2 linked regions of the Struthio camelus genome follow. The protein of the gene in region 2 interacts with the protein of the main gene of each other region in a pairwise test. Links are inferred from orthologs where the notes say so. Each region holds a gene or a part of one and is shown on either strand. Other genes may lie near its edges.

The links.
Region 1: the proteins of USP47 (region 2) and AP4M1 interact in binary tests that used the Homo sapiens proteins (3 or more experiments, as listed by UniProt). The two-hybrid records come from large-scale screens. The link is inferred for Struthio camelus from reciprocal best matches to the Homo sapiens genes USP47 and AP4M1.

Annotation. Positions count from the first base shown.
Region 1 is NC_090978.1:593,124-607,690, reverse strand, and holds the start of AP4M1 (AP-4 complex subunit mu-1), read left to right. Parts: upstream 1-10,273; 5' UTR 10,274-10,360; intron 10,361-11,165; exon of another isoform or gene 11,166-11,281; intron 11,282-11,356; 5' UTR 11,357-11,363; coding exon 11,364-11,421; intron 11,422-11,537; coding exon 11,538-11,632; intron 11,633-11,740; coding exon 11,741-11,847; intron 11,848-11,948; coding exon 11,949-12,045; intron 12,046-12,960; coding exon 12,961-13,071; intron 13,072-13,166; coding exon 13,167-13,247; intron 13,248-13,353; coding exon 13,354-13,416; intron 13,417-13,924; coding exon 13,925-13,991; intron 13,992-14,127; coding exon 14,128-14,181; intron 14,182-14,275; coding exon 14,276-14,382; intron 14,383-14,468; coding exon 14,469-14,560; intron 14,561-14,567. Other genes in the region: COPS6 (COP9 signalosome complex subunit 6), read left to right, coding at 476-590, 830-922, 1,006-1,106, 1,360-1,500; DNA replication licensing factor MCM7, read right to left, coding at 2,125-2,329, 2,852-2,961, 3,680-3,848, 3,931-4,014, 4,213-4,606, 4,724-4,807, 5,050-5,181, 5,312-5,426 and 7 more. UniProt on the Homo sapiens protein: Component of the adaptor protein complex 4 (AP-4). Adaptor protein complexes are vesicle coat components involved both in vesicle formation and cargo selection. They control the vesicular transport of proteins in different trafficking pathways.
Region 2 is NC_090946.1:24,843,492-24,858,865, reverse strand, and holds the start of USP47 (ubiquitin carboxyl-terminal hydrolase 47), read right to left. Parts: upstream 5,838-15,374; 5' UTR 5,688-5,837; coding exon 5,649-5,687; intron 5,022-5,648; exon of another isoform or gene 4,799-5,021; intron 1-4,798. Other genes in the region: uncharacterized protein, read left to right, coding at 6,467-6,592, 14,392-14,484. UniProt on the Homo sapiens protein: Ubiquitin-specific protease that specifically deubiquitinates monoubiquitinated DNA polymerase beta (POLB), stabilizing POLB thereby playing a role in base-excision repair (BER). Acts as a regulator of cell growth and genome integrity.

The sequences.
Region 1 (14,567 bases), on a different chromosome or scaffold from region 2:
GCCTGGGGGTTGGGGAGCTGCTGGGGGTCATAGGGGGTCCAAGGAGGTTGCTTGGGGGTTGGGGGGGGCCAAGGAGGTTGCTTGGGGGTCTGGGGGTCGGGAGGGCTGCTGGGGGTCGGGGGGGCCAAGGAGATTGCTTGGGGGTCTGGGGGTTGGGGGGGCTGCTAGGGGTCGGGGGGGCTCATGGAGGTTGCCTGGGGTTCGGGGGGGCTGCTGGGGGTCATAGGGGGTCCAAGGAGTTTGCTTGGGGGTCGGGGGGCTGCTGGGGGTCATGGGGGGCTGAGGGAGGTTGCTTGGGGGTCTGGGGGGGGCTGCTGGGTTCAGGGGGCTCAAGGAGGTTGCTTGGGGGTCGGGGGGGGGCCAAGGAGGTTGCTTGGGGTCATAGGGGGCACCCAGGGAGGTTGCCTGGGGGTTTGGGCGGGGGGAACTGCTAGGGATCCCCATGACACCCCCCCCTTCCGCCCCCCCACCCCAGGCCACCATGCTGTTCGCGGAGCTGACCTACACACTGGCCACAGAGGAGGCCGAGCGCATCGGCGTCGACCACGTGGCCCGAATGACGGCCACCGGCAGCGGGGAGAACTCCACAGGTTGGGGACACGGGGAGGGGGGGACACAGGGGGGACAGGGACACGGGGGGGGGGGGACAGGGGCGCAGGGGCTGGGGGACACAGCCCAGGTGCCATGAGCTAGGCTTGCGAGGGAGCACGGGGACACAGTTGGAAAAGGGGACACGAGGACGAGGCGAGCAGGTCCTGGCAGGGCCGGAAGGGGTGACACGAGGGACCTAGGGGACACCTGGCCCTGACCCCCAACCTCGCGCCCGCAGTGGCTGAGCACCTCATCGCCCAGCACAGCGCCATCAAGATGCTGCACAGCCGGGTCAAGCTCATCCTGGAGTACGTGCGGGCTTCCGAAGCCGGTGAGTTGGGGATCCAAAGGGGGGACAGAGGTGTCCCCGAAGGGGACAAGGGCCATGCCGGGTGCTGACGTGGGTCCCCGCAGGCGAGGTGCCCTTCAACCACGAGATCCTGCGCGAGGCCTACGCCCTGTGCCACTGCCTGCCCGTCCTCAGCACCGACAAGTTCAAGACGGACTTCTACGACGTGAGCGACCCGTTTTGGGGGTCCCCGTGTCCCTCTCTTGTGTCCCTGTCCCTAGGAAGCACCTGGGAGGGTCCAATCCTCCGTGGTGGGTGGGTGAGAAGGGGGGGTCACATCCCGCTACTAGGTGCTCAGGACATCCTTGTCCCTCCCCCTGTGGCTGTATTTACATCGGGGGGGACCATGGGGTAGTTTTGGGGTGACAACAGCCTCGCTAACCCCCCCCCAATCGTGTCCCCCCCCGCCTTGTCCCCAGCAATGCAACGACGTGGGACTCATGGCCTACCTGGGCACCATCACCAAGACCTGCAACACCATGAACCAGTTCGTCAACAAGTTCAACATCCTCTACGACCGCCAAGGCATCGGGCGCCGCATGCGGGGGCTCTTCTTCTAGTGGAGGGGGAGGGGGAAAGGAAGACCCCTCCCCCAACCCCTGGACACCCTCTTCCTCCCAGAACTGTGTCCCTCCTCCCTGGAGCTGGGGGTGGGGGGGGAAGGCGCAAGGGGACAGTCCCCACGCGTCCCCTCCCTAATAAAACGCGGTTCCGGGGCAGGAATTAAGGGCTCCGGTGGTGTCACTTTGTCCATCCCGTGACCCTCCCTGCGGTGGCAGGGCTGTCCCCAAGGGAACGGGTCCCCGAAAGCGGTGACAGGCAGATGGTGGCAGCAAGGGAGCCACGACCCTGGCTCCAAAATCAGTAAGAAGCAGGTTTTTATTAATAAGAAACAGGAGAGAAATTGTAACAGTACCAGAAGATGACAGGGCAAAGGTGACGGAAGTGCCACAAAGCCAGAGCCTGTCCCATCCCCCCCAAGGGGACATCGCCGCATGACCCTGCGTCACCCAAAGGTGACGGAGAACACGTTCTTGTGTCAGACGAGGGTGATGGTGGGGGGGGGGAATGTCCCCATGTCAGGTAACGCCAGGACGCGTCCCGGTGGCAAACGAAGGTGCCGCAGGGGGCTGCTGTCGGGTGGCAGGAGGACTTGGAGGGGAGGGCATTAGGTTGTCCCCGCGTCACACGAAGGTGATGCGAGTGCGGGCCGGGTTCACCTGCAGCACGTTGAGCTCCTCGTACTCGTCGAGCGCCGCCTGCACCTGCGCCGGCGTGAAGCCCTTGGCCAGGCAACGCTGCAGGGCCTCGGCGTAGCGCACCGCCCGGCCCTGGCCCCCCGCCAGCTCCCGCACCGCCGCAAAGATGGCGTCAGCTGGCCGCTGCATCCTGGGGACAGGTGACAAGGGTCAGGGTAGCTGCTGTCACCCCGGCCGCCCCAGGGATGCGGTCAGGGTTGTCCCGGCTTCCCTCCAGCCACCCTGGGGAGAGGGTCTGGGCTGCCGCCCTCCTCTTAGCCGTCCTACAGCCACCCAGGGGTCAAGGGGACAGGCATAGGGCTGCCCCGGGACAGCCACCACCTCCCTGGCCACTTAGGGGACGTGGGGATGGGGTCAGGGCTGCCCTAGCGCTGCCACTACCTCCTTGGCCATCCTACAGCCGCCCAGGGGTCAAGGGGACAGGTATAGGGCTGCCCCAGGACAGCCACCACCTCCCTGGCCACTTAGGGGACGGGGTCAGGGCTGTCCCAGGATGGCCACCACCTCCCTGATCACCCCATGGCCACCCAGAGGACGGGGTTACGGTTGTCCCAGTGCTGCCACCGCCTCCCTGGCCACCCCACGGCCTCCTGGGGGACATGGGGCCAGGGTCACGCCACCTCCCCCTCCCCGTGGCCCCCCTCCTGCTCACCGGCTGTGCTGTCCCTTGTCCCCCAGCAGCGAGTCCTTGGACATCTCCATGAGCCGTATGGCCTCGTTCACGTCCTCCTTCTCCACCGTGTCCACCAACCGCAGCCGGGCCTGCAATAAACAGGGTGAAGAGGGGCGGGTAGGGGGTCAGCAGCCACCAGGGTCCCCAAAGCAGCCCCCCCACAGCCCTGGGGCACCCCAAAAATCACCCAGCACAGCCACAGAGCCTGCCAGGGCTCCCCATCGCAGCCCCGAGGTGCTCCCCAAACCACTTCAGTCCCCAAACCGGCGCCACGTTCCAGGATGGCGCAGGGGACGCTGAGGGACGGCAGGAGCCGGCCCTGGTGCTGGCCACATCCCCGGAAGGGACGCTGGGAGCCGTGCCGGTGCTGGCCGTGCCCCGGGGGCTCTGGAGTGCTGCCTCGGCAGTAGATGCCGCACACACACTACCTGCACAAACAGCACTTTGGGGCCCCCGGGACTCGTCGGGGACAGGGACACGGACGCGGCACGGTGACCCGACGGCCGCTGCAGCTCCGTGGGACCACGAGGGCTGGCCCGGCTCGGTCTCCCCACCTTGCCTGGGCTCATCCTGCCTGTTTTTGCCTCGTTTTACCCTGGCCGGTCGGACTTTGCTGGTCTGGTATCACCTCACCTTGTCCCATCGCGCTCCGTCTCACCTCGCCGAGCCTCGTCCTGCCTTGCCCGGCCCTGTCTCACCTCGCCTGGTCCCCTCTTGCCTCGCTTAGGCCACGCAGGTCCTTCTAGGTCCTTGTTTTAACCCCATCTCGCCCGGCCCTGCCTTCCCGCACCCGCCACGGGGGCTCACCAGGGCCGTGGCCAGGCGGAGGATGCCCAGCAAGGTGCGGGCGGACGTGTAGGTGGTGTCCTTGTTGGCCCAGGCCTCCTTGCGCATCTCCACGTAGGCGGCCGTGATGTAGTCAGCCAAAGCTTCGGGCACGGCGGGCTGCTTCCGCTTGCACATGGCGATGTAGCGCCTGAGGGGTGAGAGGGGCAGGGTCAGGCCCGCGGAGGGGACCTCACATCGCCTCCCAGCGTCCGTGGGTGGGCAGCTCTCACCTCATGAGCTTCATGTCAAGCTGCTGGAAGGAGCAAGGCGGCTGGCGGCTGTGCTGGTGCACGTAGGTGATGTGTTGGGCCAGGCTGCGGGGCGGAAAAAAGTTGGGGGCAGGTGCCGGAGTCGCCCCACGGCTCCCGCACGCACCCTACAGCCCCCAACCCAGCCCCATGGCTCCCACGCAAGCTTCACCGTTCCCCCAAACGCATTCTCCCACGGCCTTGCGTCCGGTCCCACAGCTCCCACGGTCCCCTATCCAACCCCAGTTCCCCGTCCCGACTCACCGCAGGTCGTTATCGCGGTCGGGGCGGTCCTGGATGAGCCAGAGCAGATCGAAGCGGGACAGGAGGGCAGCGGGTAGCTGGATGTTGTGCTCCAGGCTGCGCTTGGGGTTGTAGCGACCGTAGGCCGGGTTGGCGGCAGCCAGGATGGCGCAGCGGGCGTTGAGGGTGGCCAGCACGCCCGCTTTGGCGATGGAGATGCTCTGCTGCTCCATCACCTCGTGGATGGCCGTGCGATCGGCTTCGAGCATCTTGTCGAACTCGTCGATGCAGCAGACGCCCTGGTCGGCCAACACCAGCGCGCCGCCCTCCAGCGCCAGCTCGCCCGTCAGCGGGTCGCGCAGCACCGCCGCCGTCAGCCCCACGCCCGACGAACCCCGGCCCGTCGTGTACTGGCCTGGAGGAGCACAGAGGGGACCAGAGCTGGGTCCTCGCATGGGGGACAGCGGCGAGAGGCCCCGGGGAGGCTCGGTAAGGGGGGGGTCCCAGCCCTTCCTAGCCCTCCCGTACTCACTGCGGGGTGCCAGGCGGTCGATGTAGGACAGGAGCTGCGATTTGGCCACGCCGGGATCCCCCATGAGGCAAATGTTGATGTTTCCTGGGTGGGGGGGGAAGGGAAACGGTGAGTCCTCAGGGCAGACACTGTCCCTCTCTGCCATCAGGGACGGAGCCGTTTCATCCCTCCACCCCGAATCCTTCGGTCGCAGCTAGCGAGTCCCTTTCTCATCCCCTCAGGCTCATCCCGGACCCCGAAACCTTCCCGCGCCAGAGGGAAGAGGCCCTCGGAGCCGCGTCTTCCCCACCCAAACGCCCTGCCGGCGCGCAGCAGCACGGCTTCACCTCGGATCTTCATCCCGTGGGGGCTGCGGTCCACGCCGCCCACCAGCAGCAGCAGCAGCGCCTTCTTCACATCCTCGTGGCCGTAGATCTCGGGGGCGATGGAGGAGGCCAGCTTGTCGTAGAAGTCTTCTTCTGCAAAAGGAGCGAGGGAGGGCATTGAGGGCGGCCGGCTGCCCTGTTGCAGGACAGCTCTGGGCGTTTTTTAAACCTAGTTCGCGTGCATCTCGGGGTGCCAACGGCTCAGCAGCGCCCAAAATCTCACCTGTGATTTGTCGGAGCTCCTCCTCGGTCAGCTCCCCAGCCCCTGACTCGTCCTCCTCGCTCTTGTTCATCTTCACGATGCGGTGGGCCTCCAGGTAGGTCTCTGAGAGCAGCCCCTGGGGGACAGGAGGGTGACGGCGGGCTCGGGGCAGGGCCACCGCAGCCCCCCACCCCAGCCCGTCGCGGCAGCGCTTACCTGGGTGACCTGGCGGAAGCCGGTCTTCAGCAGGGGCAGGAAAACGCCGGTGACGCTGACGTGGTCACCGGGCTGGGCCAAGCGGGTGTTCTCGCCGTGCACAGCCACGCTGATGGAGCGGGGTAGGTGCCCCACCGGCACCTGGTCGGTCTGCGGAGGGCGGTGGGTGAGCGCGGTGGGTGAGCGCGGTGGGTGAGCGCGGTGGGTCCCCAGCTCCGCCGTCGTGTCCCCTCCCCACGGCCCGGGAACCGGCCGTTCCGCAGATGCGGGTGCCGGGAGCCGCAGCTGGAGCTTGCTGCCGTCACCCCCGAACCAAAAATCACCCCCTGCACCAGTACGAACTGAGGGGAAAAAATATGACCCAGGTGTCCTGGCGCCTTGAAGCCTGCAGGGGCCACTCGCGATGCCACCAGCTCTGCGCTGAGTGACAGCGCCAGGGGAAGGGTTATCCCCCTCTATCCTGCGCTGGGGGAAAGCTCAGCTGGAGACTGGGACCAGTTTGGGGCTCCCCAGTGCAGGAGCAACCAGCTGCGGGGCTGGAACACTGGGTAGGAAAAGAAATGCCAAGAGGCGGCAGGGAAAGGGGGTTGCGTTGATGCCATCGCCTCCTCGACGAGGCTCGGGTCGTCCTCAAAGAGGAACGGGGACGAGGCCCAGACAAGAAGGGACCTTCTGTCCTCAGCTGGATACCAAAGCCCAAACCGCGGTCATTGAGGAAAACCCCAAAATTCCCTCCCAGCTCTGCGATCCTGGTTGAAGGGATCTCTTCCCCACCCACCACCACCCGAAAGCCCCGGAGCCACGCGCCGTGGCGTCCCGTCGCTTCGTGTTCCTCACGTGTTCCTGCATCTTCAGCTCCTGGAACTTGATGAATTTGGAGCCGCGACTCTGGAGGTAGAGGCGGCCGCCGGAGCGGTTCGTCTGGCACTCCCGGCTCGGACACATGATGAGAGGCATGAAAGTAGGCGACTGGATCTACGGAGAGCGGCAGAGCTCAGCTGATGCCCCTTCCCGCTTCCCCCTGGGGCTGGCGGGAGCCACCCGTCCCTGCCGAGCTTACGGGCTGGTAGGTCTCGGCTCCGCACTGGTCGCAGCTGTAAGTGGCCACGATCATCATGGGTTTGACCTCAGTGACGCGGGTGACGATGCCGCGGACGGTCACCAGCTTGCCGATGCAGTCGGCTTTGACGTCGCGGACCACGCGGGCTTTGGCTGTCGACGGGGCTTTGAAGTAGAGCTCGCTGGGGCGGGAGGGACGGGGGTCAGGAGGGGGGACACCAAGAAGACAGGGATGGGGACATGGGTTAGGGGGGAACGTAGGTGACAGGATGGGGGTTTAAGGTGGAGGAATCAGAGGAGATAGGAATCGGGAATTAGAAGCGATGGAGAAGAAAGAAAAGTGGAGATGGAATTAAAAAGGAAACAGGTATAAGAATTAGAGAAAAAAGCAAGACAAAAACAAGGCAAAGAAGGGATGGGGCTTCGCGAGGACGCTCGGGGACAGGGATGGGGTTGGCGGGGACACCGGGGTGGCAGCCTGGTCCCCCTCTCAGCACTCACAAGCGTCGCAGCAGCTCCGGGGGATACTGGTTCTGGGGGCTGCGGGTCTCACCGGTGTCGCGGCCTCGCTGCTCCAGCAGCAGCCGGTGCTCGATGTAGACGTCCAGCACGTCCTTGCGGGACACCTAGGGGTAGAACGGGGACAGGGAAGGTGTCAGGAGGGGACAGCGGGGTGTCCCCACACCTCCCCGCCTCGGCTCTCGGGCACCTCGCGCTCCTTGTACTGGGGCAGCAGCTCGTGCACGGCGTCGGCGAAGAGGCGGCTGTAGCGCTTGGCGTTCTCGCACACGGCGTCCGCCAGCTCGGGGTCGTCCTCGGCCACGTCGTCCAGGGCCACGTAGAGGGCCACCTGGTCCCGGTGCGCCAGCGCGGCCTGCGGGGGACAGGGTGGGAGGGGTTGGGGGAGCGAGGAAGGACCCCCGGCTGGCACGGGGGCATCACCCGCAGCTCCAGCGGGTGACAGGAGAGAGCCTGATTCAGCCTGGGAGGGGGACAAGGACCCCCCATCCAGCCCAGAGGTGGCACCCGTGGCTCTTCTAGGGGGACGAGGGACCCCCGATCTCACACGTGGGTCCTCCCAGTGACACTACCAGCGCAATGGGGACAAGGACAGACCCCCATCCAGCCCAGAGGTGGCACCCGTGGCTCTTCTAGGGGGACGAGGGACCCCCAATCTCACACGTGGGTCTCCCAGTGACACTACCAGCGCAATGGGGACAAGGACAGACCCCCATCCAGCCCAGAGGTGGCACCCGTGGCTCTTCTAGGGGGACGAGGGACCCCCGATCTCACACATGGGTCCCCCCAGTGACACTACCAGTGCAATGGGGACAAGGACAGACCCCCATCCAGCCCAGAGGTGGCACCCGTGGCTCTTCTAGGGGGATGAGGGACCCCCAATCTCACACGTGGGTCTCCCAGTGACACTACCAGCGCAATGGGGACAAGGACGGACCCCCATCCAGCCCAGAGGTGGCACCCATGGCTCTTCTAGGGGGACAAGGGACCCCCAATCTCACACGTGGGTCTCCCAGTGACGCTACCAGCGCAATGGGGACAAGGACGGACCCCCATCCAGCCCAGAGGTGGCACCCGTGGCTCTTCTAGGGGGACAAGGGACCCCCGATCTCACACGTTGGTCCCCCCAGTGACACTACCAGCACAATGGGGACAAGGACAGACCCCCATCCAGCCCAGTGGTGGCACCCGTGGCTCTTCTAGGGGGACGAGGGACCCCCGATCTCACACATGGGTCCTCCCAGTGACACTACCAGCGCAATGGGGACAAGGACAGACCCCCATCCAGCCCAGAGGTGGCACCCATGGCTCTTCTAGGGGGACAAGGGACCCCGATCTCACACGTGGGTCTCCCAGTGACACTACCAGCGCAATGGGGACAAGGACGGACCCCCATCCAGCCCAGAGGTGGCACCCGTGGCTCTTCTAGGGGGACAAGGGACCCCCGATCTCACACGTTGGTCCCCCCAGTGACACTACCAGCACAATGGGGACAAGGACAGACCCCCATCCAGCCCAGAGGTGGCACCCATGGCTCTTCTAGGGGGACAAGGGACCCCGATCTCACACGTGGGTCTCCCAGTGACACTACCAGCGCAATGGGGACAAGGACAGACCCCCATCCAGCCCAGAGGTGGCACCCATGGCTCTTCTAGGGGGACGAGGGACCCCGATCTCACACGTGGGTCTCCCAGTGACACTACCAGCGCAATGGGGACAAGGACGGACCCCCATCCAGCCCAGAGGTGGCACCCGTGGCTCTTCTAGGGGGACAAGGGACCCCCAATCTCACACATGGGTCCCCCCAGTGACACTACCAGCGCAATGGGGACAAGGACAGACCCCCATCCAGCCCAGAGGTGGCACCCATGGCTCTTCTAGGGGGACAAGGGACCCCCAATCTCACACGTGGGTCTCCCAGTGACACTACCAGCGCAATGGGGACAAGGACGGACCCCCATCCAGCCCAGAGGTGGCACCCATGGCTCTTCTAGGGGGACGAGGGACCCCCGATCTCACACGTGGGTCCCCCCAGTGACACTACCAGCACAATGGGGACAAGGACAGACCCCCATCCAGCCCAGTGGTGGCACCCGTGGCTCTTCTAGGGGGACAAGGGACCCCCGATCTCACACGTGGGTCTCCCAGTGACACTACCAGCACAATGGGGACAAGGACAGACCCCCATGCAGCCCAGAGGTGGCACCCGTGGCTCTTCTAGGGGGACGAGGGACCCCCAATCTCACACATGGGTCTCCCAGTGACGCTACCAGTGCAATGGGGACAAGGACAGACCCCCATCCAGCCCAGTGGTGGCACCCGTGGCTCTTCTAGGGGGACGAGGGACCCCCGATCTCACACATGGGTCCCCCCAGTGACGCTACCAGCGCAATGGGGACAAGGACAGACCCCCATCCAGCCCAATGGTGGCACCCATGGCTCTTCTAAGGGGACAAGGGACCCCAATCTGGCACGGCGCTGTCACCGGTGGCTCCGTGGGGGGACAGGGGCGGGAATAGCCCCCCCCCGAGGGTCCCCCCACCCCGGCCCGGTGCTGCCCCATCTCTCACCAGCTGGTCCCGGTACGGGAACTCCTTGCCCAAGTCGCCATCGCGGTAAAACTCCTGCAGGAAGCGCTTCACCTTATCTGCGGGAGGGAGGGGACATGTCAGGCCCGGTGTCCCGGTGTCCCCACGCCCCCCCTCCCCCGGGCCCGGTAAACAAAGCCACAGGTGGTCGCCCGACCCCGGAAGTGCCCCGCGCTGCCGGTCCCGGCTTCCGGGGGGGGGGGGTCTTCGTACCCTTCTCGGCGGTGTAATCGCGCGGTGCCATGGCGGGGAGGTCTACGGGGACCGGTGGGGGTCAGTGTGGTTCCGGTTCGGCGTCTCCGGTACGGGTGCCCGTAGGGGTGAGGCCCAATCAGTGAGGCTCCGGTTCTGTGCGTCGGTACGGGTCGCGGCAAGGGTCAGTGACGGGTGGCCGTAAGGGTCAAGCCCGGTCAGTCGCGTTCACGGTTCGGCGGCCCGGTACGGGACCTTGCAGGGGTCAACGCCGCTGAGCGCCGCCACTCCGGCTCCGGCCGCCGCAACCAAAAGTGGCGCGAAAAGGCGCCTCACGTGGCGCCCGCGGGCCAATCCGGGGCCGGCCTCGCCCCCTTCGCCCCGCCCCGCGCGGCCCCGCCCAATCGCGGGGCGAGGCGGCCCGGCGCGGGCTCCGCCTCCTTTGGGCCGCGTCACGTGACTCCCGCTTTCCCCCGCGCGGCCGGACGGGACCGAGGTTCGGGGAGACCCGCGGGGGGCCCTGGCCCCGCCCCCTCTTAAAGGGGCCGCGGTTGCGGGGGGGCGGGGCCGGGGGGTGCTGGGTGCTGGGGAGGGTGGATGGGGGGGTCTGGGGGTGCTGGGGCCTTGGAGGGGTGCTGGGGGGGTGGATGGGGGGCACTTGGGGGGTGCTGGGGCCTTGGGGGGGTGCTGGGGGCTGGATGGGGGGTCTGGGGGTGCTAGGGCCTTGGGGTGCTGGGTGCTGAGGGGGGATGGGGGGCTCTGGGGGTGCTGGAGCCTTGGAGGGGTGCTGGGTGCTGAGGGGGGATGGGGGGATCTGGGGGTGCTGAGGCCTTGGGGGGGTGCTGGGGGCTGAGGGGGGATGGGGGGCTCTGGGGGTGCTGGAGCCTTGGGGGGGTGCTGGGTGCTGAGGGGGGATGGGGGGATCTGGGGGTGCTGAGGCCTTGGGGGGGTGCTGGGGGCTGGGGGGGTGGATGGGGGCTCTGGGGGTGCTAGGGCCTTGGGGTGCTGGGTGCTGGGGGGGTGGATGGGGGGCACTTGGGGGGTGCTGGGGCCTTGGAGGGGATGGATGGGTGGTCTGGGGGTGCTGGGTCCTGATGGGGGAGCACTTGGGGGGTGCTGGGGCCTTGGGGGGGATGCTGGAGGATGGGGGGGGATGGGGGGGGTCAGAGGGTGCTGGGTCCTGATGGGGGAGCACTTGGGGGGTGCTGGGGGGGTGGATGGGGGGCTCTGGGGGTGCTGGAGCCTTGGGGGGGTGCTGGGTGTGGGGGGGGTGGATGGGGGTGTCTGGGGGTACTGGGTCTTGATGAAGGGGCACTTGATGGGTGCTGGGTCCTGGTGGGGTGGGGAGCAGGACCTGGAGGGCGCAGAGCTCTTTCGAAGGTGCAGAGCCCTGGTAGCACCCAAAGGTGGCCAGAGGGTGAGTGGGGGGGGTCTCGGGGTGAAGGAAGGGGGGGAGGGTCCCACTCGAGCCACCCCCTCCGCCTCCCGCCAGGCCAGCGATGCTCTCCCAGCTCTTCATCCTCTCCTCCAAGGGCGACCGCCTCATCCATAAGGACTGTATCCTGCTCCAGCGTGGGTGCTGGGTGGGTGGGATGGGGTGAGAGGTTGGGGAGGGGTCCCCCTTGCCCCCCCTGCTCCCCACCTTCTTCTGCTTCTCCTTAACCGCAGACCGGTCCGTGGCGAGGCCGGTGCCACCAGCCAGGACCTCGCCGACACCTTCTACAAGAAGATCACGGCTTTGCCGGGCGACCAAGCTCCCGTCTTCATGGTGAGGGTGGTGGTAGGGTGCTGAAACGGGGTGGTGGTGGGGGAGGGGTCCCAGCACCCTTCCCAGCTCCGTTTCGCCCCCCCCACCACCCACCCGCCACCTCCGCAGGTGCACGAGGGCCGGCACTTTGTCCACGTGCGGCACGCGGGGCTCTACGTGGTGGCCACCGCCGCGCCAGATGCGTCGCCCTTCACCTTGGTGGAGTTCCTCAATAGGTATGGGGAGGGGGGGTTTTCGGGGGGTGGGGGGGACACACCGGGGGACAGGAGGGGACGCGGCAGAGTGGGGGGAACCCGTTGACGGCCCGCCGGCGCAGGTTGGTGACGTTGCTGCGGGACTGCTGCGGGACCCTCAGCGAGAAGAACGTCGCCCTCAACTTCGCCCTCGTCTACGAGCTCCTGGACGAGATGCTGGTGGGTGGGCGCCTTGGGACACCCTACGGGGTGACGGGGACACCCCTAGGGCGTGGGGTTGTCCCTGGGGATGCCTTGGGAGGGACACAGGGGCCACCCCGGGGGGAGCTGGGGACATCTTGGGGTGGTGGTGACCCTGCTGGGGGCACTATGGGGACAGTTTGGGGACAGTTTGGGGGACTGGAGCCACCTCAGAGGGAGGTGGTGACACCCTGGGGTGGTGGTGACCCTGCTGGGGGGGCTATGGGGACAGTTTGGGGGACTGGGGCCACCTCAGAGGGAGGTGGGGACCCCCTGGGGTGGTGGTGGACCCCCTGAGGGGGCTATGGGGACAGTTTGGGGACAGTTTGGGAGACTGGGGCCACCTCAGAGGGAGATGGGGACACCCTGGGGTGGTGGTGACCCTGCTGGGGGTGCTATGAGGACACTATGGGGACAGTTTGGGGACAGTTTGGGAGACTGGGGCCACCTCAGAGGGAGGTGAGGACACCCTGGGGTGGTGGTGGTGGCCCTGCTGGGGACAGTTTGGGGGACTGAAGCCACCACAGAGGGAGGTGGGAACACCCTGGGGTAGTGGTGGCCCTGCTGAGGACAGCTTGGGGGGGGGGACCAGGGCCACCCTAGAGGGAGCTGGGGACATGATGGGGGAGGCCAAGCGACACTCTCCTGGGGCTGGGGACAGCTCTGGGGGTGATGGGGACACCTGAGTGTGGTGGGGACACCCCCATGGGGTGACGGGGACATTAGAGGGGGGTAGTGGGAACACCCTAGAGAGAGAGCTGGGGGGCCACCTTTGTGGGGGGGGCCACTCAGGAGCATCTTTAGGGTGCTGGGGACAACCCAAAGGGGCTGAGGACACCCCTGGGGGAGGGGGGGACACGGGGACATCCCTGTGTGTCCCCCCCCCCCCGCCAGGACTACGGTTACATCCAGACCACGGCGCCCGAGGTGCTGCGCAACTTCATGCACACGGAGCCCGTGGCCACCAAACCCTTCAGCCTCCTGGACCTGGGCTCCATCGGGCTGGTGAGCACCCAACCCCCCCCCCCAACCCCACCCATGGGTGCCCTCGCACCCACGTCCGGCGAACGCCCCCTTCCTCTTCCTCCTCCTCGTTGCAGTTCGGCGCCGAGACGCAGCAGAGCAAGGTGGCCCCCAGCTCGGCCGCCAGCCGCCCCGTGCTGCCACCTCGGGGGGAGCAGGTAGGACCCCCCCCCTGCCGCCCCACCCGATGGGTGTCCCCGTGTCCCCCCTCCCCCCGCCCCACGGGTGTCCCCGTGTCACCGCCGACTGTCTCTGCGGCCACAGGGCGCCAAGAACGAGGTTTTCGTGGACGTGGTGGAGAGGCTGACGGTGGTCATCGCGGCCAACGTGAGTGGGGACGGGGCCACCGCTCGGTCGTCCCCCCCCAGTGTCCCCTCCCTCCCACTCGTCCCCCCACCTCCGGGCACCTCGACCTGGGGGTGTCCCCTGTCTCCGAAGCACTTCGCGTCCCCCCTCATGTCTCCCCCCAGGCAGCTTGGCTTGGGGGTGTCCCCTGTCCCCAAAGTGCCCCGCGTCCCCCTCGTGTCCCCCCCCAGGCAGCTTGGCTTGGGGGTGTCCCCTGTCCCCAAAGCGCCCCGTGTCCCCCCTGTGTCCCCCCTCGAGGCACCTCAGCTCAGCCTGGGGGTGTCCCCTGTCCCCAAAGTGCCCCACGTACCCCGTGTCTCCCCCCGAGGCACCTTTGCTCGGCCTGGGGGTGTTCCCTGTCCCCAAAGCACCCCGTGTCCCCCCATGTCCCCCCTCCCAACACCTCAGCCTGGGGGGGGGGAATCCCATGTCCCCAAAACGCCCCGCGTCCCCCCCAACCCCGGCTCACCCCTCGTCCCCGCGTCCCCAGGGGACACCCACGAAGGTGGACGTCCAGGGGGAAATTCGCCTCAAGTGCTACGTGCCCAGCTGCTGCGGTGAGCGGGGGGGGGGGGGGGGGTCCCCAGCGGCATTGGGTGTACGGGGCTGGGTGTCCCCCCCCACCCCAAAACCCGCCACCACCGTGTCCGTCCCCCCGCCACCCCGGTGGGTGACACCGCCGCGTCCCCGCAGAGATGCGCATCGGGCTGACGGAGGAGTTCTGCGTGGGCAAGTCGGAGGTGCGAGGTGCGTCCCACCCCCCCCAACTCCCCCCCAAGGGGGAAAAAAAAACCCTAAACGTCCTTTTTTGCCCCCAAAATCGCCTCCCCCCCCCACCAAGGCTACGGCACGGCCGTCCGCGTGGATGAATGCGCCTTCCACGGCGCCGTCAAGCTGGACGAGTTCGAGAGCGGCCGGGTGCTCAAGGTGACCCCGAGCCAGGGTGAGGTGAGGATTCGGATGGGTGGGGGGCACCCTAGGGTGATGGGGGGGCACCCATCCTGACCCCCTTTCCCCCTCCCCACCCGGGGCAGCTCACGCTCATGCAGTACCAGCTGGCGGATGACATCCCGGCGCCTTTGCCCTTCCGCCTCTTCCCAACCGTGGACCGGGACGCTGCGGGCAGGTGAGGG
Region 2 (15,374 bases):
GATGCAAAGAAGCTAAAAATAATCTTGCTATTTATACCTCTGTTTTTAGACATTATCTACAGTGAAAATTTTCATAGTATATCAAATTTATTTCTTACCTGACTTTTAAAATTAGAACATTCACCAATCCTACAGAATTCATTTAAGTAACATGAAGAAGCATATAAGACTTTCATTACATCTGATTATGGAGAAGATATTTCATGTTCAGGTTCTACTTCAAGAATGCTCCTTTTGACATGCAAAGAACTACTTGGCCATAGTATATTTCCTTTTAAGGGGTTCAAATTGTGCACCTACAGAATAATTTACGTCAAAGAAAACATTCTGCTGAACTACTGCACAATAACCAGTTCTAAGCTATTTCAGAGAACTGCCAATCTAAAATTTATTGTGATTTTTCAGACAAACCTAAAGAAGCCTTGCACACTGCAGTCACAATCCTCCCTGATTAAATTCAACCAAGCGATCCTTTTGCTGATTTTACCCCTTAATGTCCTCCTAAATCTTATTTCATCTTCAAATGCTGAGCAAGACCATTTGTTCAAAACAAGCTGATTACATGCAAATCACTGCAAAACATGAACATAGAAAATACTATGTCATAAACAGTTGTTGCAACGGTGATCAAGTCGTTTACCATTTTACCTGAAAGTTTACAGGAAAAATTTAAAGACTTTCTAGTATTTTCAATGATCAGTTCTCTAGTTCTACTCAAATATTATCGCTTTGAGAATATCATTGTTTTGAGAATATTGTTTCGCTCAAGACAAGAAAAGAGTAATAAATTACTAAATAAGCAGCTCACCTGATAGCACACCATACAGATATTCAAAGGCTTGATACTAGCCCTTGGTATCAGCTTGAAGTTCTTGCTATAAGAATCTCAGACCTTTCCAAACTGAGTAAGAAGCCTGAATATATAACTCAATCACTCAATTTCTAGAGATGTGACTTTCATATTTGCTTTCTTATATATCCACCAACATATTTTCAAATACAACAGGAGGACTGGAGCTATTACTGGATACATGAACATCTTATACATGTTTTAGTGCATTACTGTATCAATACTAAAGTACTAGGAAAAAAGCTTCAAAATAACCTCTGGAAAAAAAAAAAGGCTTCAATTCTGACAGGACTAAAACTTGCAAGCAGGTAACAGAGTCAAGGTAAAGGACTATTTCAGCAAGTGTCTGCAAGTTTTGCTGTTAATATTAATGTCAGTATACTCTTATCAGCAAAAGGAAATTGGATAATGATGATTTTTATCAGAACTGGGGCAGGGAGGGAAATTTATACTTTTAAACCACGATGTAATGCAACAGTGATCTAAATGCACAGGTACTTAGGTTTTAAAAAACAGAAAAACAGAATTAATGAACTATATCTATTTAAAAATGGCAACAAAATATATCAAAACCAAATAGTTTTGTTGTACACTGAAATTCCAAGCTAAAGAAAGACAGCATACAAGCCAGTATATCTCTGCAGAATTTAATACTGACAGATATTTAAAGCATTCTCTGCCTCCACAGAACTACTTCATGTCTTAAGTAAAAACCCATTACCAGGAACAAGTTTGAGAAAGAGTGCATAACCGTACAAAAAGTTAAGGATTTAACTATCATAATACTATATGCATTTGATTTACCAAATTTAATTACCACCAAATCACAAAATAATAGCAAAAACTGCATTTTTGTTTGCAGTGATGTTCAACATGTATTATTTCCACAAAAAATTAAAGTGACAAGTTATTTAATTGTCATATTCTGCCACTGAGTGATAACTTCAGCTAGTAGCATTTAAAGACCAAGGTTTTTAAATGCCGGTTACTTGCTGGCATTCAAAGACCAGCAAATAACTGTCTCTTATACAAAATCTTTTCATCAGACAACCTCAAAGTACTATTAGATAATTATCCTGATTATCTTTCTTATACTACAGATTAAATACCCAGATATATAGAAAGGGGAACTAACCTGCAGAGTTTACCAATAAGCCCAGAGGCTGACCTAGGTGGGGAAAGATCTCACGTACTACTCTCATGCCCTATTCATCAAATTACATTACTACATGAATATCACTCAGAGAATGTTTGTTCACAAGGAACAGACGATTTTGTGGAGTTCTGTTTGGATACTTTCTATGTTTGGTTTTTTCAACCTGAATTCCAGAGTATTCGCTAGGTCAACGAAGCGGTCAGTTTCTCTCCTTGTCGCAATGGTACCTTCGTGCTTTACGACAGAGCACACCAGAACGGAAGCTGGGAAAAACTGAGAAGTTACACAAGCTGTAAATACTAGTAGAATCTCTTAATACACTGGAATAGAACGATGACAATGTCATCAGCATTAAAAAGAACAGTACCCTTTTAGTAAACTGAATTACAAAACACCTTACTCGGATTCTTGTTCTTCTAAAGAAGAAGCTGAAGTGATAGCCATCAAGAAACATCTTTTATTTTTTTCAGTGCAGAAGATTAACATGGATTCATTAGTCTACAGATGAAAGAACTCCCATTAGTTAGCTGTGAGAGAGCAATCCCACTACTTTCTTTGATTTAATAGTACCAAGTACGAAGCACATATATTTATTCTGACAGCTGTACTTTGGATGGTTCATGCTGGAACATGTTGAAAAAGTATCTGTGCAGCATTGTTAAATTTATTGGCACAGACATTTCCAAAGCTCACAGCAAAACATACATTTTAAATTCTGATCAATTATGGAAGTCTGGGCAATTCCCTCTGAGTTCTGGTACATGTTAATTTTCAACAGAAATCTCAGTAAAATTTACTCACATTATCAGCAAGCAAACATACACATCTTTCTCATCAACTGTGTTGATTAGAGTACTTTATTATCCTGTATTTGAGTTAGATTCACCCAACATAAGTTTCAGGTCTACTTCAGAGATGCAAACTGAATAATGTCTCAAAGGTACAATTTTTGTAAGATACCAATATGAATAAGAACAAGTCTGAGCACAGCAGTATAACTACTAGTATTTTCCATTATTCTCTATTATTGTCTACAAAAACTTACGAAAAAAAAAGTATTACACCTTAAAAACTGCAATCTCATCTCCTGGCAGCATGAATATATATACATACATACACAAACTGAAGGCCTATAAATAACCTCACCCCTATATTTCTCCTCTTAAAACAAAGAGGCTGTTAATACTATAAATAACTCCTATTACCATATACTACCATGGCATTACATAAGCTTGTAGTCAAGAACAAAAATCAAGTCCTTTAGTTGACTAGTCATTCCCCAGACTGGCCCAAAGCAAACAGATCTCTTCTTGCTCTTCTATATCAGGACGCAAAGGAAAAAATATGGCAGTGTACTGATATTTAGGAGACCTTGGTTAATATCCCAGCTTTATCTTTGAAACAGCAGAAGACACTGAGCTTCACAAGCACTATCACTCAGCCCTTTTGGAAGAGACAAGAAAGATGAACTGTAATCCTTTATCCACCCCAAAGTAGCAGAACCGAAACTCCAAAAGATCTGTTTTGTCTCCGACTGTTGATAATGGCATAACAGGAAGATTTAAGGGACGGTTGTCTGGAACTTGGACCTGGAGAATTCCGTTCACCCATAACTCTATTCTCTGCCATGAGACTATTAAGAATCTCCAAAGGTTTTAATGTGAACGTTATAGCATAACACTTGTTAATCTTCCTATCACTGAAACTAAAATGAGGAAATACTGAAATATATTGGAAAAAGTTGATGATAAAGTTACATTTTGACATATATTTTACTAGATGGATTTAACACAGTTAACGTTTCTCTCATCAAAATACCTATTTGTGATTTTTTTTTACAGTCTCCATGAAAATTCCATCAGTTGTTAAACAAATCCCCAAAATGTTGCAGAACTGACTCTTCAGAGAACAAACGATCACATTTACAGTATTCTCAACATTGCTCCATTTTGTTTATTTGCAAAATGCACGGGGGAATAATATAGAGCTTGAGAAAACTTGTTAAAAAAAAGGAAGCAACTCTCTGTATCATTAGCAACGAACAAAGTTTATAGATTTCATACTGTATGCTTAAGATGGCCCTATCTGTAATCATTGTAATTTTTTTATATTCATCTTCCTTTACCCATGCTTACCTTCCCTACAGATAAAAGAGCGTGTAAAATCCTATCCAATGAGTCAGTTAAAAATACACATCTGAATCATACGTATATTCTGAATATAACTTTAAAGTCAACAGGGATACTATTAATATATATAACTAAGAAACTAGCTGAGCTGTTTGTTATTAATCAACTAATCTGTTCCACTTATCTACCACAGAAGTCACAAGACTTGTCCTGCGTGTCTCCTTTATTTCTATGTTCTCCCTTTTTAAATGAACTATTTAGGTATATTAGCTATTATACGCCATTGCTTGTCTTATGTTTTAGAGACTTTTTTCCCCCCTGTAAAGGGATTTAGTCTCTTAAATGTTTGGCTTTTAAAAAGAGGTAAAGTTTACTTGATCCATAGATATCCTTTACTTACCCATACAATTCCATATACACAAATTTGTTTCCGAAACTCAGTACTGCTGTTTGTTTCACAGCTGTGCTCAAGGATCATCACTTTGTTTTGCTAAACTCCATAAAATTAAAGTCCTTGCCTCACAGAGCTTCCCGTACGTATGCGTTATGAAACAGGCAGATATAACAGACCACTGACATTTGACGAAAAACGACAGGAGTGGCTTGAACAATTTTAACAGAAGAGTAAAACGGCCAAAAAGTTGACTGAATACGTAAGTATACCTGCTCACGAAGTAAAGTTCCTGCTGAAGTATTTCTGTGAACACTGCTCTATGAATAATTGTTTCCAAACGTTTCACACCACCCCTGGGGGAGCTCCTCTCCCCCTCCGCCCGCCCTGAGCGGTATCTGTCGCACTTGACACGTGTCGTTTGCCTATCATCTCGGGACAGAGGCTCAGCCTTCCTCTTTCAGCAGGCTCTTATCTTCAGCCTACGGCCAAAAGCAAGTCCTTCTCCCTCCCTCCCCGCGGCAAAGCCGACGAGGGGCCCACGGCACAGGAAGCCCAGCCCACCCCCGGGACCGGGCAGCGCTGCCCGTGGCGTGCGGCGCCGCCGCCACCGGCCCCTCCCGGCTGCCATTTCGCAGGCAGGTGCCCGTCCCTCGGCGGCCGCAGCGCACGCAGCGCCGCCGCCAGGGGCCGGCCCGGCCGGGCCCGCCGCGACCCTCCCCTCCTCCTCGCCCAGCCGGGCTCCGCAGGCCCCGGCCGCTGCCCCCCCCTCGCCAGAGGCCGCGCCGGGCCCGCACGCAGGCCGCCGCCGCGGCGCGGACAGGTGCAGCTCCCCGGGCGGCCGCCCCAGGCCCCGCGCACCGGCCTCCCCACGCGGGAAAGCCCCCGCTCTGCCCGGCCCCACAGGCGGACACCTCCCGCCCCCCTCGCGGCGACGGGCCCTGGCGCACCCCCGGTCCGGGCCGCGCACGGCCATGCCAAGCCGAGCCAGGCCGGGCCGGGCTAGGCCGGGCCTCCGCCGCCGCCGGGCCCAGCTCCGCGGGCCGCCTGCCTGCCTGCCCGCCCGCCGCGGCAGCCGCCTCGGCCCCGCGCCCCCTCCGCTCCGCCCCAGCCTCGCCTCACCTCTTTGGGGACGAGCTGGTTCTCCTCGCTGGGCACCATGGCCGGTGGCGCGGCCCGCAGCAGCCGGAGCGGAGCGGCGCCGTCGTCAGCAGCGGGAGGCGGGGGGACGCCCACGGCGCAGCCTCCACCCCCACCGCCGCCGCCGCCCTCCGCCGGCGCCAATCAATGGCAAAATGGCCGACGGCGCCGCTCTCGCGAGACCGCGCGGCGACGCCGCCTGCTCGCCCGGCCCCGCCGCGCGGGTGCGCCACGGCCCCAGCTCCGGCGCCGGCCGCTGCGCGCGCGGGGCGGGGCGGGGCGGGGCGGGGCGGGCGGTGTGGGGCAGTGCGATGCGGGGGGCCGGGGGCAGTGGCGGCCCCTGCGCGGGGGGACGGCGGCGGCGGCGGCGGCTCTTGGACCGCGCGTTGGGCGCGGCCTCTGCCCGCCGCAAGCTTCGCGGTTGGCGGGGCAGGTCGGGCGGATGAGCGAAGGGGTAAAGTTAAGTTGTGCCCGGTAAGCGAGAGAGAGCAGGCGGTTGTGAGCTGTACGCTGAGGAGTGAGCGATTCCCTTCAGGTGCGGGAGGGAGTTTACGGGGGGGGGGGGGAGGGGGGTTGCTTCGGGCGTGGGGTTTCTCCGCCCGCCGGCGACGGCGGGGCCGAGGCGGCGGGTGCGAGGCCTCGGTGCGCTGCCGGCCCGCTGGAGGCGGGCGAGGCCTGGGCCTAGGGCGGCCGGAAGGGCAGGGCAGGCGCGGAAGGGCGCCCGAGAGTCCGGCGGGCCGCGCCACGCCACTGGCACGCGCTTCGCCGCGCGCAGGTGCGTCGCCCCGTGGCAAAGTGGGATGAAGGGCGTGGGCTGTGGTTTCAGTGAGCTCCTCCAGTTTGCGTTACTCATTTTCTCTTCGCACCTGGATGGGGTTTACCCACCACTGAATGCGGGGCTGGAAACCAACAGAAAGAGTGCGAAGGTAAAGTAGGTGTCATCCTGCTAACGCACGCGCGCTTGCTTTGTGCCCAGAAACTGTTCTTTGAAATAGGGCTGTGAAATTAAGCACGTGCTTGCTTCGTTGTAAATTTAAGGCTAACAGCGCACTTTCAAAGGAAATACAAGGATATTTCTTCGGTATGCATTAGTTGCTGGTTTTGTCTGCAAAAAACTTATGTGTATCTGTGTTTTTGTGCTACCTCAGGCACATTAGAAATCAAATATTAATCTTCAGAAAGACTAGAATGCGCAATAGGAAAAAGTAATTATACATTAATGTCAACTGTGAAATAGTTCTTTAACTGGAAAGCATGGTACTTTGCAGTTAAAGAAGAGGTATATGTTTTCATAGAAATATTTTTCTCATTGTTTTAGTGTCCTCTTGTGGAAGAATGCAGGTTTGAGAACACCTCTTGATTTTATGTCCAAAAAGTTTAGCATTTTAGGGTAATTCTTGAGATCTCTTGTATTCAGGATTACTGGAACTCTGTTGTGGAGATTAAGTAAAATAAAGTGACCTCATTTTCCTTTTATATTTTTTTTTGTAGTATAAAATGTGTAACTCCTCAGGTTCCTGACTGTCATCCTGCTTTCTAGAAGGTGAGCAGTAGCATGTTTTGGAGTCAGTATGTAGTTGTGAACGTTTGAAAAAGTGTTCAAAGAGGACACTTCCATAAATAACAAAGTCAGTAGTTTTGTTTTCATCTTACAAGTGTGTTATGGTAGATGGTACATTTCATAGCTTTTATGAATTCTGTTTCTTGAACTAAGCACAGAAATCCTCTTGCTGAATATTTACATGAATCATTTAATATTTCAGCCTGCTCCTGATGTGTTTTGGCTACACAAATTGATGGGTTTAAATTATTTATGTAGTAAAGGTGAGTGAGTTCTTAGAGTTAGGAATTCTTCCTCTTTGGTGTTGTAGCGTGTAGCATCTTAAAGTCCCTCATCTTAACAAGACATTCCAGCCCTAATATATGAAGTGAAGCACCTAGACAGAAACTTAGGAGTACCTTACTTTTAATGATATTTTATGTTAGCTCAGTGTTCTGTAGAGCTACCCCTCTACAGGAGGGAAATGATATGGAATGATTCTTTTTTTATGAGAAAGGAAGTATGAAATTAATGAATTGTTGTCTTTTAGAGAAGATTTCTTTTTGTTAATGACTAACAGTTATATTGCTGATTGAGGGGTTAGTTTGTTTTTTGAGCGAGACTTCACTAAATATTTTGGTGGTAGCAAAGATATAATTCTACAAATAATGAAAAGTAGTATCAACATTTATAGATATTGAGAGAAGCACAGCCCACTGGTGATCCTTTGTTGCCCAGTGGTGTCCAAAGATCCATGAAATCAGCAAGGGAGTACTCGAATGGAAAAGCCAGAATAGGCATGTGGGCGTGCAAGAGAAAGGAGATACAGTCGTGAAGGAACTGGCTGGGAGGCTCCGAGGATGGTGTGTGACTATCATTACGCCACTGATGCTCCTGTTTTGTGTGTTTGGTTTTTTAAGGGGCCAAAGACTCTAGACCTTGAGGGATTTTTCCTCTTTTGCACAAGGGACCCAAAATCCTGGAGTGAGAAGTTTTCAGAGATGGTACTTTTTGAATTTCTTTTGACTTCCTGAGGTGTTACGGTCTTGTTATGTTTTTTGCTGCTTTCTGTGCTTGACTAGGGGCAAAGCCATGAGACTCGATGGCTTTAAATATATTACGCTATCGGGATAAAGAGGTAGCTACCACAAAACTGTCTCTGCTAGATAAGAATCAGGATTTTTCCAGCCATTAGAACTGTACAAACACCAAGTGTAGCATGCGTGCATAGAACATCTTTAATGGTGTAATAATTTCTAGTTAATAATTAAATGTCTGTGAGCTTTTGAAATTTGTGGATGCTACAGTATTTAATCTCTGCATGTGAGACTTTAAAAAGGAGCATTCATAATTCAAGTTTCATGGAGGGAATCCTGGTCTTATGTATATGCTAATTAACATAGCACAGGTTTAACTCGTTATTAACAGTACAAAGAAACTGATATCTCAAGCTAAAAATGATACCAGATTTGAGAGTATAAGTGAAATTCTTAGGCTGTTGATTGTCAAACAGTCATTCAGAGATAGTTCATTAGTGAATGACTGAAAACTGACGTACTTCAGCACTTGTGACTGTAAGTGCCACTTTTTACTAGGTTTAGTGCAATGCGTCACTGAAGCACAAGAAGGCATACATCACGTTAACGAAAATACAGTTATGCTCCATTGACGTTGCAGAGTAAATAGCATGTCCTCGCTATAAGAGAGGATGAACTTTTAAGTTAGCTTGCGGGAACTGGATACCTCCCTCTCCATAGGCTATTTCAAAACTGTGCTTCAGTCATTTCTCCTACAGTGAAAAAATTCACATGCTGCTGTTCCAACACCCATGTCCAAGATTTGATGGGTAGTGAAAAAAGTTGTAAAAACTAAATGGAGGGAATATTGACATACATCTCTTATGCTCAACCGTATGCCAAAACGGTAGGGGTGCAAAATCTTAAGAAAATGTGTAAATGTCAGAATACAAACTGATGTTGGTTTTGATCACAGTAATATTACCTCAATTTTTTCATTAAAGCCTGTGTAAAGAGGTAGCATACATGAATATCATTCATTTGGGATGTCTTCTTTCAAGCACTTCAGCTCTGATTTTTCAAATAGACTGTTGGTGGGAGGTTTAGTTCCCATTTCAGAGGTTGGTGACCTTATCATTTATGGAGCCAGCACAGCCGTGCGTGTCTTTCATGGTTTTGCTCTATTAAAAAAGCTTGAAGTTTGATATTCATTAGCAATTTGCCAAGGGTTGCAAAGTGAAATAGCCATTTCATATTTGCTAACACTAGAAACGTGGCCAGATGCAGCATTGTTTTAGAGCTCTTCTGTATTGTCAGTGCTTTAAAGAAGGCAGCTGCAAGCCTCTCCCCTCTTCAGTCTTTGGAAAGTCCACTTCTACTGATGGAAGCAGAGATTTGTAAAAGTTCAGGATATCACAATCCACCAGTGCATTGCACTGCCAGTCACTTTGTTGTTTCAGCCTCAAGTAACTTTTCCAGAATCGCACAGGCAGCTCTGAAGCATTTCTCAGAAAATCTTAGGCCGTCTCCTTGCCTACTGACTGCGCCATCCAATCCTTTCCGGATAAAAAAAAAAAAAAAAAAAAAGCTATAAAATTTGCCTTTGTATGGCTGAAGTAAAGATAGGGTAAGGGCAGAAGAGGGGTTGGTAGAATTTATGTCAGGTGGAGAAGAGACAATTATATCGGTTTCTGAAGGTATCTCCAAAGATGCCTTTTGCTAGATTTCCATTTCTTGGATTTTAGCTCCCTAAATGTGAAGCAGGCCAATAAAAATCTAGGAATAAGGAGTAAATTACTGGTGAATACTGGTCTTTAAAAAGGGACCACTGATTACTTTTACTTCTTCTGTAATTGTTGTTAGAAAGAGGTTTTTACATTTTAGCCTTTTATTGGATCGTTTCTTGAATGTGTTGAGACTCAAGAGCTGGAATCAGAATATTGTTTAAAGATAAAGAATCATTGCATAATCTTCTATGAACTGTATCTAAAAGGAAAATGCCTGTGGTCTACCTTCTAAAGAAGTATGTGCAGAATATTAAGAATAAAAAAAATCCTACTCTAATGTTAGAATGCTGTGGCAAATTAAAGCTTTAGATTAACTGTGGAGATTAACTATGGAAAAGGTATGCACTCCTTTTAAAGAGATTGTTGTAGGAGACAGTCTTGTAGGTGTAGTAGGAGAGTAGGTAAGTAGCCTTCTCTGAGAGAAGTTGAACTTCACAAGGTTAAAGAAAAAAAAGCTCAGTTTTAAGGTAACTTGTAAACATTGTCTTGTAAATGTTTTGCTATTCTTAAGTAGTGTTTTCTGCTATAATCTCTGTGAGCATGCAAGTGCTTCTCTGTTCTCTAGCGCTGTAATCCCTTTTAAGTCCTTTTTAATCAAAAGCAGTTGGAGATTATTTTAATTAATTATTAATCAGCAACCAAGATTCGTTGACGTTTTTGTTAAAGATTATCTTCCTACACCAGTTTCAAGACACTGAGCATTCAAGATATTAGCTTGTGAAGTTAGTTTTCTTTTCCATGATAGCATTAATCTTATGTATGAATTATCTAAGGGATTTGAAGGTTAAATTACAGGTGTAATTACAGGGAAATAGAAATCCTGCGGAGAATTTTGCAGGACCCAGGATTCCTGTATTAACGCTATATTGCAGCATCAATGTGACTTACAATTTTCAACACTGTGTATTTAAAACTACAGAGCAGTTTCTGGCATTAGCAGTGTAAACAAAAGTATTGACCTCTCAATGCGCTTGTCAAAATCCTCCTGGTGGTACTGGGAGTAAAACATATGCACTGGCAGGACAACTTTCACTTTGTGTGGTGTGAGATTGGAAACAGATGTGGGCCGGTATCATGTAGAGTTTGAGGGATCCCAGAAAACCTCACACTGATTTTGATGCCTTAGGCTCATGGCCAGAGTGCAGTAGGGAGCCTACCGTAGCTCCTCTACCTAAGATGTGTGCGCAAGCTAGGAAATCTGCTGTCTCTTTCTAAGCATACAGACCAATAAGGTGTACGGCATACCTCTTTTCTTTTTGGAACGTGGGCTGGTATGTTATCTAACCCTGTCCTGTAGAGCAGGGGGGTGGCAAGGGGCAGATGTGTCTGTCCGCACCAACGTAACAAAGGCTTAAGTGTGGGAAAGCAAAAAGAAAGGCAAATTGCCTTGAATGCATACCGTGAAGGTAATGTCAGTCACTGAAATCATTCAGTGACTTCAGAGGTTCAAAAAAAAAAAAAACCTTACAGTGACATAGCCAGTATATTAAAAAACATTGAATTAACACTTACGGCATACGAGGATTGCTCTTGGAGAGTCACCATGAGAGTGCAAAGGCAGCACTAAATAAGACTCTGTAATGTGCAAAAATAACAGTGGCTTAGCTTCACGTGGGACTGCTCTCAGCATGGACACTCGAAGTATTTATAGCTGCCCTTGAGCCCAGGAGAGTTAAACGGTTCAGGCTTGCAGTAGGGGTTCCCAGTGACCCTTCAGATTAAATTTGATGATGTTTAACATTACTGACAAGTGCTAATTATACTGCTCACAGTTCTTTGGGCATGCAGGGGGTGGTTTTCCATCCTCAGCGAGACCTAACACATAGGGACCATTTGCCTTGACCCAGACTTATGATCCTGGGTGGCCTTCCCCTGAATAAGAAGTGATTTCTTCACGTTTTCTTCCCAAGGTGCCAGGACTGTCACTGTAAAGCGGTAGCTGCCTGGACCTCGCCACATGCCATCTCATGGCTCTGGTGCGTGCAAGGGCAGGACCACAGCAGGATGTGAGCCTTGGGTTCCCTCGTTTTGCAGCCTCTGCTGTGGGGCCCCTTGCCCTGTCCCAGGATAAGAACCTGCCAGCCTTTTCTGCAGGGGTAGTGGGAGGACAGCAAGAAGGGGCTGTCACCTCTCTTCCCATTCCTGTATAAGTGGTGCTTAGTGACAGGGCTTGGATACCCTGTCTGCATTGCTCTGTGCCTGCACAAGTCATTTTCTTCCCTGGTAAGGGAAGAAACTTTGTAGTTTGGGAAATACTGGGAGGGACTGGGTTATTCTGTAGCAGTTTTAGGAAGAGGAAGAGTTGCTCTTTAGCTATGGGTCATTCTTCCTGCCAGGGTTTTCCTCCTATCCTTTCACAGGATGCTCATGTGTGCACAGCCCTGTGGCTTTCTGCTTGTGGAGATACAGCTTGCAGAGAGCAAACATCGTATTCCCACAGGGACATGGCACAGGGTGTGCCACAGTGAGACATCCCTAAAGCAGCTTTTAAATGAAGAAGGTTTCTTGGGTTTTCTGCCTTTGCTTGTTGGTTTTATTCTCAGGTGTCACAGACGGGAAACACATCTGCAGGCTTTCTGTCTGCTTCAGGTTGTTGCAAGAGTAAGAGGAGCTTAAATAAAATATCTTAATTTTAGACCTTATGTTCAGCTCTGAAAGGGATGTTGTATGTACAGAGCTGTTGGGAGGCTTGGCCTAAAACCCTCTCTGCTGCTGGCTCTGTGGTTCTCTAAGCTCAACCTTGTCCTTGTTTTGCAATAGGCTGTCTGCTGAGCATCTGTAGCGTTCTGCGGCTTTAAGGCCTCATCTCCTTGGGGGTTGCTGGGGGCTTTCTTGCACGAATTAATGTAGCTTTACCTCTGGCAGCAGCAAAGGGAGCTGCCAGAGGTCTGACATAGCATTTAAAATGTCAGCTGCCGGTCTCCGGCAGCTGCCAGCACTGGAGCTCTGGCATAGGGAATGCTGTCAAAGGATGAACACAAGGAATGTCAGTGTGGACATAGTGTGAGTCAGGCTGGGCTGGGACTTGTCTACAAAGTATCCTCAAACTGGTAAAACACTGTCTGAAATCTCCCAGCAAGTTGTCTCCTGTTCTGCTTGGGTCATAGGATCGGAAACAGTATGGACTCTTGACTGTTTTTTAAATTCAGACTGGAGTATAAGTAGCCTGTCAGAGTATGGGATCTGCATGGATACAGTAATCCTGTGAAGCTAGGGGTCTCTCTTCTGAGTGAGAGATTAAAACAAAGCACTAAGTAGTGAGAATTTTAAGAATCTGATTTCTGTAAGCAATCTCATTTTGTTCACATGTGTATGAACGATATTTTTTTTTTTTGAAGTGACTTTTCATCTAAATGTTTGGAGTACATCTGTTGGTTGAACTGAATTAATGTGGGGGGAAAATAATAATAATAAAAAATTATAACTCCTGTCCTTGTTTGTCAGCACTGCCTTTCAGGAAGATGCCTCTTGAGAGCAGGTGTTTCCCCAATATTTTAATTGAAACATTTGGCAGCAGATCTGACTCCGAAATGTATGCACTTTTATATGAATTTGGGTTTCCAAATTGGTGCTAGCACAGGATGTAAATTTCTTGCTATACTATTACTACTTTGCCCATTGCAAAATAATTGTGACAGTTGTTAAGTTCACTACGTAACCATTTGCCTGTTACTCTGATTTAGATTGGGCTTGTTAACTGGCTCTGTTAGATGTAAGCACATCTGAAATGCCTACATAGAGACGAATTACAAATCTTTTGAATCAGATCCAAATCCATTCATGGGGCTTAGCTTTTCAGCAGAGGGTTCTTCTAAATGCTGATGTTAAGGGAGGAGTGCTCCTTGTTTTTGTTTTTTTTTTCCCTTTGGTTGGCAAGTAATGTAGGGTGCGTCCATGGAGCGGCAGGGGTGTATGAATCGGAAGGGTCTCTGTGCCATACTTGTAGCTGCAGTGATGAACTGGGCCCTATATAGTATTTACCACTTTTTTTTTTCGTAGGGAATGAATGTTTACCATTGTTTATCCAAGAAACTTACCCCTTTCTTTTCCTGTGCCTTCACTCATGTGCTGTTTTTGTGTTCCTTATGGTAGCAAAAGATTTACAGTAAGCAGCCCGAACAAATTTTAAAGTGCTAACATCAGTGTATAGAGTTTTGATACAGACAGTAAAGGAAACACTTAATGGAAATCAAATTCCAAATACGCTGTTGGGAAACCTGTCTACCAGAATAAGAGAGAGCCAAAGGCATGCATGAACTTGTTGATGTTCTAGGTTTACTACCGCATACAGGAAAGTTTGCATAACATACACACACATACATACACATCCTACTCTGCATCCAAGATCTGTGGTGTATTGTGGATTTTTTTTTCCTTCTTAGTCTGCGAAGGTTTCTGAAATGGAGAAAATGCCAACATCATCAAAGGGTTACCTTGTGAAAACTGCCAAGAAGTTATTATCAAAGATAATAGAAGTAAGTCACATTTGTCTTTTAGGACTTTTTTGGCCTGTTCTGACTGCTGAATATGGTGGGGGGGGGAAAGCCTGACTTTTAACGCATTTTACAAACTTCAAAAATTTTGCTAAAAAGGTAAATTTTTGTTAATCCTTGCAGTCTGATCTTCCCTATTTTATTACTGCTACTTCAGCCTCTTTCTGTTTTCACTTGTCCCACATTTCTCCAAAGACAGGCTGAAAGTGTAGTATACCTGTCCTTTGTTAGTCCTCTCTCTGTATTTCTTTGTCATTTATTTTCATAGCTTTAGATTTATTCAGGATGTAGTACGCATATTTCAGAAAAGAAGAGGTTAGTGAATCTTTAGTTACCTCATAAAAACATTGATGTTCTTGGCAACCTTGGTACAGTACTTCTGCTGCACTCACAAATAAGGAACGTAACCTTTTTGGTTGCTACATTTCCATACAGTCAAATTAGATTACAGAGTCTTGAGAGTCCTTTTGTACATTCCTCAGCAGTTACAGCAATGTTATGGTGCCTCTTTTGAAAATTGAGAGGGCAACTGTTTGTGCATAGTCATGCTGATCAAGCCAGGAATCACTATGTTAAAAGGAATAAAACAGTGATCAAAAAAGGTGTTTTGAAGAAAGATGTTTTCATGATTTGATTTTTGCAAATAAGAAATTCATAGCATAAGAAACAGTTTGCAGAGCTTCCCTGCTTTTGGTTTCTGATTCTTTGACTGCTTAGACAATGACTTTACCTTAGGATGAAGTAACAAGCTAGTTTGTTTCTTTTTTTTTTTCCCCTTTCTTTGAAGAAAGGGAAGGAATGAAGACATTTAGAGTCAAATGTTCCATGTGGAGGGCTTTTGTTTGTTTATTTATTTTAAGTCTCCTGCAGAA